3 linked regions of the Xenopus tropicalis genome follow. The protein of the gene in region 2 binds, or shares a complex with, the protein of the main gene of each other region. Links are inferred from orthologs where the notes say so. Each region holds a gene or a part of one and is shown on either strand. Other genes may lie near its edges. The genes, in order: rab3ip, rab8a and rab3il1.

Region 1 (3,652 bases), on a different chromosome or scaffold from region 2:
TGTATTATTAACCCAGGTTTTAGTTTAGAGGTATTTATGAACATTTTATAGAATTTTGTTTTATTTGCTTGTTATTTAGGTTGTTGAGCTAAACTATAGTTTTTAATATTTATTTCTTTTAGATTGATGTACTGCAGGCAGAGGTAGCAGCTTTGAAAACACTAGTTCTCTCAACCTCACCAACTTCTCCCACAAAAGAACTACAGCCAGCTGGAAAGGCACCCTTTAGGAAGGGCCATGTCAGGAACAAAAGCACAAGCAGTGCTATGGGTGGAGGAACACTAGACCTCAGTGTACTGCCACCAATTGTCATGGAACTGAAAGAGGTAATTTAAAGGTTGGAATTTGAAATGTTTATTTGGTGTATTGTTTGTGCACATGTAAGTGTAAAAAACAAAAAATTCCACTCTTCATGCAAATTGCAATTTGTACAAAATATGTACGAAAGTTAGACTTTCCTGTGCAGTGGGATTTTTTCCAGTTCTTCTTTGAAATGAAAAAATAGTTTTGCAGTGTTTTAAAAAAATTGTTAGAAAACATCTCAATCCAGGGAAGCAAATCCCATCCTGATTAGCCTTCTCACTGGATCCCCTTAGCTCAAAGCAAGCTTATAGATATATACAAACATTGATTTTAACTGCTAACCAAGGAAAACTAAGCAACAAAAGGAGTTAAATTCATGGTAATATATACTTACTACACCTTTGCTTAAACAATGTCCAATGGGAAACTGTGGAATGACCTGAGGAACCAATGACCAGTCCTCATAAAACCACAAGGAGGTGCTGGATATATTTTAGGTTTGTATGTTTAGTTGTCTTGTTTCCAGTTCTCATGCCTGCATGTATGGACCATATTTGCTTTTGATTGTGTTTTTTTTATACTAAAGTAGAGTTAATTTTGAATTGTCTTGTTGTATTGAGATCAATGGCAGCTTTAGTGGGTTTAGGGTCCAGATCATAGTATTAATGTTACACTAAATAGATTGTAAGCACTAGATGAGTCATTTAAGGGTGTAGCAGCTACTTGTCACTGCTGCTCAACCCAGAAAATACCCTGCCATAGACAATACTGAAAATTGCCTCTGTTAAAAAACACGTAGAGACAATTATAACAGCATTGTCCATATTTGTAGCCGTGACAAGTAGCTGCTACTAGTGGCTTTGTAGTAGCCATGACTTTTTAAAAAGTTGTGGCGTGATTAGTCGCAGCAACTTTTATAAAACCCCTATGGTGGTAAAGTTGCCGCAACCAACTTTTTAAGTTTGAAAATGAATTGCCTTGTGTGTCTCCGCCCTCAGGAGCTGGTCCTGATGATTATAGGGCTGCTTGGCACGTCATGTCCTAATTTAATTTTATCAGCTCAATTAGTGTTTTGTTGATTGGGGTGCAACTGTTGCTCAGAGTGACTGTGTCTCAGCCACTGGAGATTGATGAATCTTTAAACCTATGTGTGAGTGTCACAATAATTTTTCTCTTAGCAGGAAAACCAGTCTTGAAGACACGAAAAAGCAATAATGGCTTGGGTAGTGTGTTTCTCCTTTGTAAAGCATGTGCAGTCATGACACTCTGTTGTATATGTTGGGGAAGTCTTGGTGAAAAAGCTGGGTACCAGCTGCCTCAAGCACTGATATTATGGTTTTTTGGTACTAGAGTATGCATGCATAATGAACAGAGATGTCTGACTGCACATAATAAGAAACTCATATCTCTTAATTAGTAACATTATATTTTTCTTGGCACAAACTGTTGTTCATAATGCACATTTTATAAAGATCCTATGAAACAATATTCCTATATTCAATGCAATGGTCTATTTCTTAAAATTACACTTGCTGCTATGTGGAATCATAATTAGGCTGCCTGCTTGTGAGCAGTATTTCAGAGTGTTGGTCAGTAAATTTTCTTTGCAGCAAACCATTGCATTTGGTCATAATGATTCTGGTTGCAGGGTAGCTTTGCATGTTCATTTATAAAGACATATTACTTTCTCATTAACAAAAACATATTCTAAAAGGTATTTCTCTTTTTATAGCCTGATTTATCCCTTTACTATGAATTCAGAACTTGGAAAGAAGAGCCTTCCATGGATAGGGCATGCCCATTTTTGCACAGAATATATCAGGAGGATATCTGCCCTTGTTTAACATTCCCTAAAAGTGAGGTAAATGTTCTTATTTTTCATGTGCTTAGTAGGAATAATACAGATATAGTTTATATTATTTTATTGTATTTGCAGTGGAGGTAGCATTAATTAAGTGTTCCCTAATCTCCCTCAACTTTTCCCTCTATTGCTTTATGTAGTAAAGGAGAGGGAGATGTAAAAACTCTTCCTTATGCGCAACCCTGGGACACAAACTCCAGGTGGGGAGGGGCTTGTTTATACAGAGTCTCTGTCTGTTTATCTCTTTAAAGGGGATATGTCACCCTAAGAAATAATTCCAATTTTTTTTTCTATTGTGTTTGTTAAGGGCTCTCCCAGTATAGAGGAAGCAGACCTAGCCCCTTCTCTTTAGTTACGCCACTGTGATAACCCTGTGCTAATGTTGCGCAACTGTGAAACATTGTAGAAGAAATATAGATGTTACTCAAGCCTGGCAGGACTTGTGAGGCATCCCCCAAACTTGTAAAGGGAGAACTGAAAGAACTAGCACTGGGACTGTAAGAACATTAGGGAGATGTAAAGGGGATTCATTATACTGAATAAAAATAAAGCTGATATTAGCTGTGGTTTTTGGGCATAACACAGTTTGTCATAGATTACAAAATGTATGTACATGCACAGTAAAATGCGCGTATATCTCATATTTTGTTTTATAATTAATTTTCTTAGCTAGCTGCAGCTGTTCTTGAAGCTGTAGAAAACAACACCTTAAGCATTGAGCCTGCTGGTCAGCAACCTGTGCGGTTTGTTAAAGCATCAGCTGTTGAATGTGGAGGATCAAAGTAAGTAAACCACATGTATGTAAAGAATTTAGTGACTGAGGTCATTGCTGCTTATATAGTTTTGACTACAATGACTAAAAAAAAAAAAAAAAAAATATATATATATATATATATATATATATATATAAAAAATATTGAACAGTGTGCTTGAGGCCTATTAAGGCGTTTTCACTGGTTATAATAAGTTGTAATGCATACTATCAATCCCTTAAAGGAGTGCTGTCCAACTGGCAGCCCGGCCTGCGACCCCCCTCTGTGTGGCCCCCACCTGTCTGGCTGATTTGATGGCTTAACTTTGTGTAAGCTTTAAATTGTATCACTACTGAGTTTAACTGGCCCCTTGCATGGTTCTCACCTCAGATTCAGGCTGTAATCCCCCTGTATTGTTTAAAAATGTAATTCCCTGTACTGTTCACACCTTTTAATCTCTGCATTGTTTACCCCCTGCATTCTTCACACCTCAGGCTCGGGCTGTAATCACCCATATTGTTCTCCTGTTCACACCTGTGTGTAGGCAGCATGGGGTAGGCAGAGTATGGCACATAGGCAGCATAGGGCAGGGAGAGTATGGCACACACAGGCAGCATAGGACAGGGAGAGTATGGCACACACAGGCAGCATAGGGCTGGCAGAGTATGGCACACACAGGCAGCATAGGGCTGGCAGAGTATGGCACACACAGGCAGCATAGGGCAGGGAGGGTATG
Region 2 (4,113 bases):
AAGAATTTAAAATTATTTTATAGGTCCCCTTTAAAGAGATTCTGACACCTGAAATGAAACTGCTTTTTAAATCTATCATAACACGGCCTTTCCAAGCTATTTATAATTTTGCCATTAAAATACTTTCTGGTGCTTTTTTATTACCTATCTGATCCCTCATGTCCCTTTATGAGGGTGCAGCCATATTTGTGCAGCAGCATTAGAAACTATAACTTACAGGGTTAGAAGGGAGTCAGGGTTAGAACTTCAAGTAACAGTTACTTACAAAAGCAAACCTATTAATGAAAATCATAGCATTGTTTTTTTTATATTTTATGCAGTGTCCCAATGTTTTTGGAAATTGGGTTATAATTTATGTAACGATTTACTGTATGCATAAAAATGATATTTTCAGAAGTCACCTTGAAGTTCCATGACTTGTTTAAAGCATTCAGCCTCCAGCCTCCTGCCTTTACATCACATCACAGGACTTCTTGTTGCCTTATAATATCTTCATAATAATAATAACAATAGAGGGTATGTAATTCCATATGTTATCAATAAAGTACATAAGATATGTAGAGTGATAGTATGTAGAGTATTGTATATTGATTTTCATTGTTCCAGGAAATTGGGCCAATGACATGAGCAGACAAGCAGGTCTAAAGAATGTACGCAGCCGCTATCTGCAACAAGCTCTGTAACTGGCAGCCAATAATGTTCTGGGTAACATAAAATACAAATATAAAGGCAAAATAAAACAAAAAAAGAGACATACTATTAAATATGAGACTAAAATACGGTGCCTTGCAAAAGAATTCAGATTCTTGACAAATTCTCCTGGTTACTGACTGAAAATAATCCTATGCTGAAACCTTGTTCTCTGATATTTTTTATTTCAACGCACAAAAAAAAAATAACAAGCAGGGCTGATTCACTAGCAGCGGCAACACAAACACGTCTGTTTGTAAAGCATAAGCATCGAATCATACTTGGTCGTACCGATAATATTTGTGTATGTAGGCACATAGTGCTACTTATATACACAGAAACACATTACTCAGATGGGGAAAAATAAAATAATAGGAATATAAGTTAATACAAAAAATAAAACTGCATTCCAGATTCAGTGCTATTTCTTACCAGACAAAGGAAGTTAAACACAGAAAATAATTTCCGACCTGGCAATGTATTAACCGGCCCAGAAAACTAACCAATCACGAGCACCCGCTCTGACATTACTTCCACCAACCAGCTAACGTCTCTCAGTTTGACTCGGCAGCTTTGCCTGATAAACTTTACGCTTGGGTTCGGCGGCGGGGGGTCTCCTGGGATGGGCGGGTTGCGGTGACGACAGGGCGTCACTAGCCAATTGATCTTCGCTTTCACATAGATTGACGCTGCCCGTGGCCAATTGTTCGCAGCTTCTGGTATTTCCTGTATAGTAGTTTTTAATATGGCGAAGACTTACGATTATTTGTTTAAACTGCTACTTATCGGCGATTCTGGGGTCGGGAAGACGTGTGTATTATTTAGGTTTTCAGAAGATGCCTTCAATTCAACCTTTATATCCACTATAGGTGAGTCTGAGTTGTCGGGTGGGGAGCAACTGGTGGGAGAAGGGGATGGAACAGGGGATGAGTGCTGGGGTTTTTTTTGTGGGTATACGTACTAAGTATGGGTATGCCGGTCTGAATATACATTAATACCAAGGGAGGCATTCTTCTATTGTCTGTCTTTGTAGCATATAGTATTGAACATTCAGCATATCTTTCTTGTTTTATAACTGTACGTGTCAGTATACAGTAATATAATTCCAATAGAGTTACATTATTTGTTTTTACCTGAGATAAAAATCTGTAGTGCTGATGTATGTATAAAGAATATGATGAACATTTTCCAGCAGTTCCTATGGGGTTTATAAAGCGCTAGTGTATATACATGGGCAGAAGGGAGAACATCTCAATGAATACACACACATTAAGAGCTATAGCTTGTCATTTGTAACACAAGAAACGCATGTATGCCTCCTCTGGTCCCTTATAGAGTAGAACTTTAGAGATGTCAGTCCTGTGTCATCAACAGCAGACCTATATTTTTATTTTATCACTGGTTATGATCCTGGTAGTGTAGCACCTGATTAGTTGAGGGATCTATTCCAGGTAGTTATAGCTATTGTAGAGACTACAGTGATATCATCTCTTCTGATGAACCTTTGTACTCAGTGACGGGCTGTGTAATAAAGGTGAGACTTTGAATGAAAAGGGCATTTCTTCTATTCTTATGGGTGTTAGTATGTAAACTTGCTTTATATGCCTACATTAATGCAAAGGGATAACTGGCAACAATACATAGCATATTCATTTTTTATGTTTTTACTTAAAGGGGAATTTGATTAAAAAAAAAAAAAACAAATGGGCTTAGATTATTTTTTAATTAGTTTCTCTTAAATAGCAGCTACTTTATTCTGAGCAAAAAACAAAAATCCCCTCTCCATATATTGGTCCAGTTTGTCACATCTTTAGTGGGAACTGCATACAACTTTGCCTAACTAATGCAACATCCATAGGTATCAATTAAGGTGATCATAAATGGTTCTGTTCTGCTGTCCTGTGACAGTGTTTGAGATAATGCAATATGCAATTGCAGCCCTCATTAATATACAGGTATGGAATCCCTTATCCAGAGAGCGCCAAATTATGAGATGGCTCTCTCTCATAGACTACATTTTAATCAAATAATTCAACACATTTTTAAAGTGTTTTTATTTTCACTGTAATAATAAAACAGTGTTTTGTACTTGATCCCGACTAAGGTATAATTAAACCTTTAATGGAGGCAGAACAATTGGGTTTATTTAATGTCTAAATTATTTTTAGTAGACTTAAGGTATGGTGATCCAAATTTCAAAAAGATCCCTTTTTCAGAAAATACCAGATCTCGGGCATTTTGGATAACAGGTCCCATACAGTAAAACAAAAATACTTAATATTTTCTGTGTTAGATATATGGCCTTATAGTTTAATGTAAGGGATACCCTAAACCCTGGATTCAGTTTGGAATTCAGCTGAAGTTTTTTTCCGAAGGATCTGGATTCAGCCGAATCCAAGTGCCCGGCTGAACAAAATTGGAACCCTTAAAATCACATGACTTTTGGTCACACACGTAAGGAAACTAGTACATTTTTTCCTCATGCTGCATGCATGGTTCCTTTTAGACAAATTAGGGTTTGCTTTTGGTTCAGGATTCGGCCGAATTCTTCATGAAAGGTACAGGAATCAGCCTAATCCAAAAATACATTTTTACCTATTTACTATAATAGATTAAAAGTAATCTCTACTTATTAAAGCTGCTTATATTACATTTAGAATGATAACCGGTATCGCCCAGGGTGATCCCTAAAAGCAGTTTTGAAATTCAGACATGCTTGTTCCAAAAAATCATACTTCACAGAAACCCCAGTATTTTTCTCTAACATGAACACTTCAATAGCGGAAACAGTGCTTTGAGGTGTTAAAGAAAGTGTGCTACATCAGAAACGGCAACCCTTTGGTCTAAGAGAGAAACTAGACTGGCACCTGCTTAACAGAGACGTGGCAGTTTGTCACACATTCCTACTTGATTCTTTAATGATGATAGCCGACTTCATTATCTGTAATGAAATGGGGATTGTAATTAGTGGAGTTGTAAAACAGCCAACATTCTGAGAGAGAGCTTTTTTTTTTTTTTTATTTCTTTTCCTGCATGAGCACTATATGTATCAGGTGACAAAGGCTCAGTGAAAGGTGCACTATTGTATTTGGGAATCTCTAAAGTAATGAAGGTGTTGACATAATGAACTGCCTGTATAATGTTAACCCTAGAATCATATTATATGTTTCAAAAATGCTACTGAAGTAACAAATGAAAGCAAATATTTCCTCCCTGACTTTTTTAGATGGGGATGATACTTTTTCATATTAGAGTGAAAAAAACATTTCCAAATGATATTTAATTACAACACTGTAGTATTCAATTTATTTTCCCTAGGAAACATCTGGAAAAGCACTAAGGTGAAATCATATTGCTGTAACAGACCCAGCTGGCAGCCTGTTGGTGCTTAAATGAGGCTAAAACACTTGCCTCTTGAATAAA
Region 3 (4,140 bases), on a different chromosome or scaffold from region 2:
CTCCATCCATAAACCTAAAAAGGCTCATTTTGCTGAATAATTTCTGTGTTTTACTAGAAATTAAAATACAATTACATTTTATTTCTAAACAGGGTATAGTTCCCCTTTAAACAATTGTGTATCCGTAATGACAGCCCCCTGCCTGTATATTTAGCTATCCAAGTTGAGATTTCCCTTTCCTCTTTCACTCTCGCACAAGTGAATTTAGGAACATTCAATTCATTGAAAAAAACAACAATACGCCCATGGGGTGCATCACATGACAGTCACATGACCTGTATGAGGGTGGACACTCTTGCAATGAGAAACAGATGGAGGTCATATGATCCTGGCCATGTGTGAAGAAGGGAGGGGGAGAGGGATATGGACACTGCTTTAATGATAGAACATCTGTGCAGAATAAGATTTGTACATCCTCTATACTGTATTACATAGGGAATATGTGACTCTGGGGATGGATAGATAGATATAGATGGATAGATCCACAGATCATAGCCTATGATTAAGTGCGTTATAGCACTATAGGCTTTTTCATGGGCATGTAATACCTAATATATGTTTTACTTCATTGATGACAAAATAGATTCATTGAGTCACATATTCCCTATGTAATACAGTATGGGTATGTACAAAGCTAATTCTGCACAGATGTGATAGATGATAGATAGATGATAGATAGATAGATAGATAGATAGATAGATAGATAGATACAGTAGATAGATATATGATAGATAGATAGATAGATAGATGATAGATAGATAGATCAATAGATAGTGTATTGTATATTCTGGATTATGTGCATATATATATATATATTTATATTATTGTGCATATATATTTTTTTCATTAAAATATGACTTTATCTTATATCATTGCATCTGAGAGCAATATCTGGCCAATTTTACTTCATTTTATATCACTGTGCATCCAAGTTTTTCCATCCCCGTTGGGACCGAGGCCCCCAATAGGGATCGGAAGACATTGGAAGCACAGTGATATAAAACAAAGTCACATTGGAAAGCTGACACTGAGTGATATATATACAGTGACACGGAGTGCAGGGATGCCCAGATATCTAGTGCCAGTCCATGAGCCTACTGTTTAAGTTGATTTAAACCTGCCACCCTGGCTGCTATCCTGTGGAGCCACTGTCTCTTCCTGCTGCCCTCCCCCTGCCTGCTCTCTGTCTCTCTGCCTGCAGCTGGAAGTGTTTCCTCTGTGAGTGCCGCAGAGTGAGGGGGGAGGGAGGAAGTGACAAGGAGGAGTAGTGAGAGAGAGCGGCACATAGTTGTGTGGGATGCAGGAAAACTCTGTGCTCTAACATCAGCCTCACAGGCTTGGTGGCCCTCCATCCTTCTGTGGGCTCTTCTGCTGCATCTGCCACCACTTCTGTGCCTCCGCCGGGTCCCCCTGTCCCATCTTGGATGCTTCCTGGATGTTCCCCCCCAACCTGAGGCAGCCTGGAGGAGAGAGTGACATCTGGTAGGATGTGGGGAGCAGGGTAAGGAAAAAGCTTGTTTTATTCAGTGGAACCTGTGTGCTGTTAGTGGGAGAATCTTGATCCTTATTACACTGCTCAGTTTGTGGGGGGTGACAGCTCTGTGTGGCAGGTTTGCCAATGTGGAAAGTCTAGCAAATACCACAGGGGCTGCTGTAAACTGGCATAGACTCTTGCTTTATATTGGGCCTGTGTGGGGCTGTTTGGGCCTTTCTGTACTTAATGCCAGTTCCTATTTTGACTCTCAGTCCAGACATGGCAGGGGGCAAAGGTGGCCCACCCTAACACTGGCCCCAAGGGTTTGCTTATGGGGCACTTTTCAAGGAGCCGGTTATTCCACAGAAAGAGGCAGCTCTCTGCTTTGCATTAAGAGACAGCTGTGCTCCATTACTGAGAGAGATGCTACGCTTCTCTTTATAAGGGTCCAACATCATGTTAAAGTGCAAGATCTTTACAAGGGCAGCACCCCCCCCCCCCCGACTTGCTTTATGACCCCCTCTGGGAGTGCTGGGTCCCAACATCTGCCCATCCTGCAAAAACTAGGCATCCCACCAGCATCAGTAACTGCCATGTTAATTTTACATCAGCTTATTTAAACCATTTCATAACAGTGTTGCTGCACCCAAATGTTGTTGGACTACAATTCCCAGCATTCTCCAGCCATGTATAAGGGTTTGAAGCATACTGGGAACTGTAGTCCAGCAACATCAGGACTGGATGCTGTTGTGAAGAGTTCAGAAGGCGCAATTCAGCCCAATCAAAGGGCATATAATTACTTTGGGCTACCTTGTTGTTCAGTCATTTCTGCCTAAACCTCTATTTTCCAGGCCTGTTGTCCATCAGGTGCATTATTAATAGAACAGTCTGACATTTATTAAGCGCTTTCTTCAATCAGTGACATGCTCTTGCTCTTCCCACAGGGAGGCCCCTATCCTGGATGGTGTCCCGGAGCTGCGCTGTTCCCCTGCCATTGAAGAGTGGAGTACCCCTCCCAAAGCCGAGTCCTCTAAAGCTTACGCTGAGCATGCTGGGGAAATCACGCAGTATGACCTCTCCCGCCTGCGCAGTTCCTCGGTAGAAATTAGAGAGAAGGGCTCTGAGATCTTGAGAGAGGAGTTGCTGAGAGCCCAGAAGGTGACCCTGTTCATTACACTTATGTAGCAGCAATCTTGAATTATTTTTTTTCTCAAACTAATGTATTTTTTTAAATAATGCTCTTTAAGAGTCTATGGGCCTGATTCACTAAAGGGCGATAAAAATTATTGCACGCTTTTTCGTGTTAAAAAACGCAAAATAACTTGCGCGCGATTCACCATAGTATTATCGCGTGCGAAAAATCGCCATTTTCGCATGGGGTATTTCTCGCACTAGTTTTACTGTTTTGCGTTAATTTCCGCGCTGAAAAGAATACGATCGCATGATTCACTATAACTTTTGCGCGCTAAATATCGCATTCGGCTATACGAAAATTAACACCTACTACAGGCAGGCGAAAAATTATACAAAAGTACAGTAAATTATTTTTTGCAATAAAATATGGACTTACAGTGTTATTTATTCAGTCTGTGTTTCCCCCAGAATGACGCAGCCGCCAGTTTGCAGCGAAATGTTCATTTTTAATACAGTAATTTTCTGCAAGTATTGGCGTGTATGGCTAACATGGCGTGCGTTCATTTGCGCAACTATTTCTATTTGGCTACAAGTGATGAAATGTTTCGCCAGGCATGGATTCGCAGCGAATTTTTTTCATGCGTTTCGCAAAACAATCCGCCAATGGCAAAACGCATGAAAAAATTTGCCACGCAAAAATTCACCGCACATCCAAAAATTGATACAAGTGTCAAAAAATAATAGTCACGGGCAACAATTTTTTTGCCCGCACAACATTTTTGCCGTTTCGGGGATCTTTCGAAAGATTTGCTAATTTTTCACTAAAGAAACCAGAACACATTTGCTCATCACTAGTGGCTACTATTTATAAGCATCTACTATTTATATGTGGCTAATATTTATATACACCATTTATATGCTTCGACAATTTTTATACACTATTTCTATGCTACCATTCATATTCGGCGATTATTCGCATAATTTAGCGCATGTACAGGCAAATACCGCATTGAAATAGTCTTTCGCGAGTTAAATAACGCTTGCAATATCGCGCGTAAAAAAGCGCGAGTATGCTTATAGTGAATTGTGCGAAAAATCGCCAAAATTAAGTGGCGGTAAAAATTTTAGCGCACAATAAGAATAGCGCACGTTTTATCGCCCTTTAGTGAATCAGGCCCTATGGATCTCTCAGGCCAGAGCTCCTCAACCTTTTGTACTAATGAGTCAAATTCTAATGTTGAAAGTCTCAGGGAGACACACAACTAGGATTGCTCACACTTTTAATACCGGTAGGGTTGCCACCTCACCCCTTTAACAGCCACATATTGATTCCACATTAATATCGGCTTCTTGTGCCTGCAGCCAAGCATATTCAATGCTATCGGGGGGCAGGCACATGTTGGGGCATTTTGAAGCATATTTAGCGTATTCTCAGCAAGCGTTTTTTGGCTTGCCGAGAATACGCTACGTGTGTCATTAGCCTAAAGGAGTGAGGTGTCAACCCAAGGTTCATGCCTTGCCTGCATATTGCT

The links.
Region 1: the proteins of rab8a (region 2) and rab3ip are in contact, whole or in part, in a crystal structure (PDB 4LHX), measured with the Homo sapiens proteins. The link is inferred for Xenopus tropicalis from reciprocal best matches to the Homo sapiens genes RAB8A and RAB3IP. Residues at the interface, in NP_005361.2 of Homo sapiens: Lys10, Phe33, Ser35, Thr36, Phe37, Ile43, Asp44, Phe45, Lys46, Ile47, Trp62, Ile73, Ala76, Tyr77, Arg79, Gly80; in NP_783322.1 of Homo sapiens: Ser199, Arg202, Asp203, Gly206, Leu209, Glu210, Thr213, Ala214, Phe217, Glu218, Ala220, His221, Val224, Asn228.
Region 3: the proteins of rab8a (region 2) and rab3il1 are in contact, whole or in part, in a crystal structure (PDB 4LI0), measured with the Homo sapiens proteins. The link is inferred for Xenopus tropicalis from reciprocal best matches to the Homo sapiens genes RAB8A and RAB3IL1. Residues at the interface, in NP_005361.2 of Homo sapiens: Lys10, Phe33, Ser35, Phe37, Ile43, Asp44, Phe45, Lys46, Ile47, Gln60, Trp62, Thr72, Ile73, Thr75, Ala76, Tyr77, Arg79; in NP_037533.2 of Homo sapiens: Arg104, Glu108, Leu111, Glu112, Thr115, Ala116, Phe119, Glu120, Ala122, His123, Arg127.

Annotation. Positions count from the first base shown.
Region 1 is NC_030679.2:59,188,353-59,192,004, forward strand, and holds part of rab3ip (rab-3A-interacting protein), read left to right. Parts: intron 1-122; coding exon 123-326; intron 327-2,035; coding exon 2,036-2,164; intron 2,165-2,833; coding exon 2,834-2,946; intron 2,947-3,652. UniProt on the Homo sapiens protein: Guanine nucleotide exchange factor (GEF) which may activate RAB8A and RAB8B. Promotes the exchange of GDP to GTP, converting inactive GDP-bound Rab proteins into their active GTP-bound form.
Region 2 is NC_030677.2:104,417,631-104,421,743, forward strand, and holds the start of rab8a (ras-related protein Rab-8A), read left to right. Parts: upstream 1-1,280; 5' UTR 1,281-1,435; coding exon 1,436-1,559; intron 1,560-4,113. UniProt on the Homo sapiens protein: The small GTPases Rab are key regulators of intracellular membrane trafficking, from the formation of transport vesicles to their fusion with membranes.
Region 3 is NC_030680.2:22,474,216-22,478,355, forward strand, and holds the start of rab3il1 (guanine nucleotide exchange factor for Rab-3A), read left to right. Parts: upstream 1-1,208; 5' UTR 1,209-1,487; coding exon 1,488-1,501; intron 1,502-2,418; coding exon 2,419-2,632; intron 2,633-4,140. UniProt on the Homo sapiens protein: Guanine nucleotide exchange factor (GEF) which may activate RAB3A, a GTPase that regulates synaptic vesicle exocytosis. Promotes the exchange of GDP to GTP, converting inactive GDP-bound Rab proteins into their active GTP-bound form.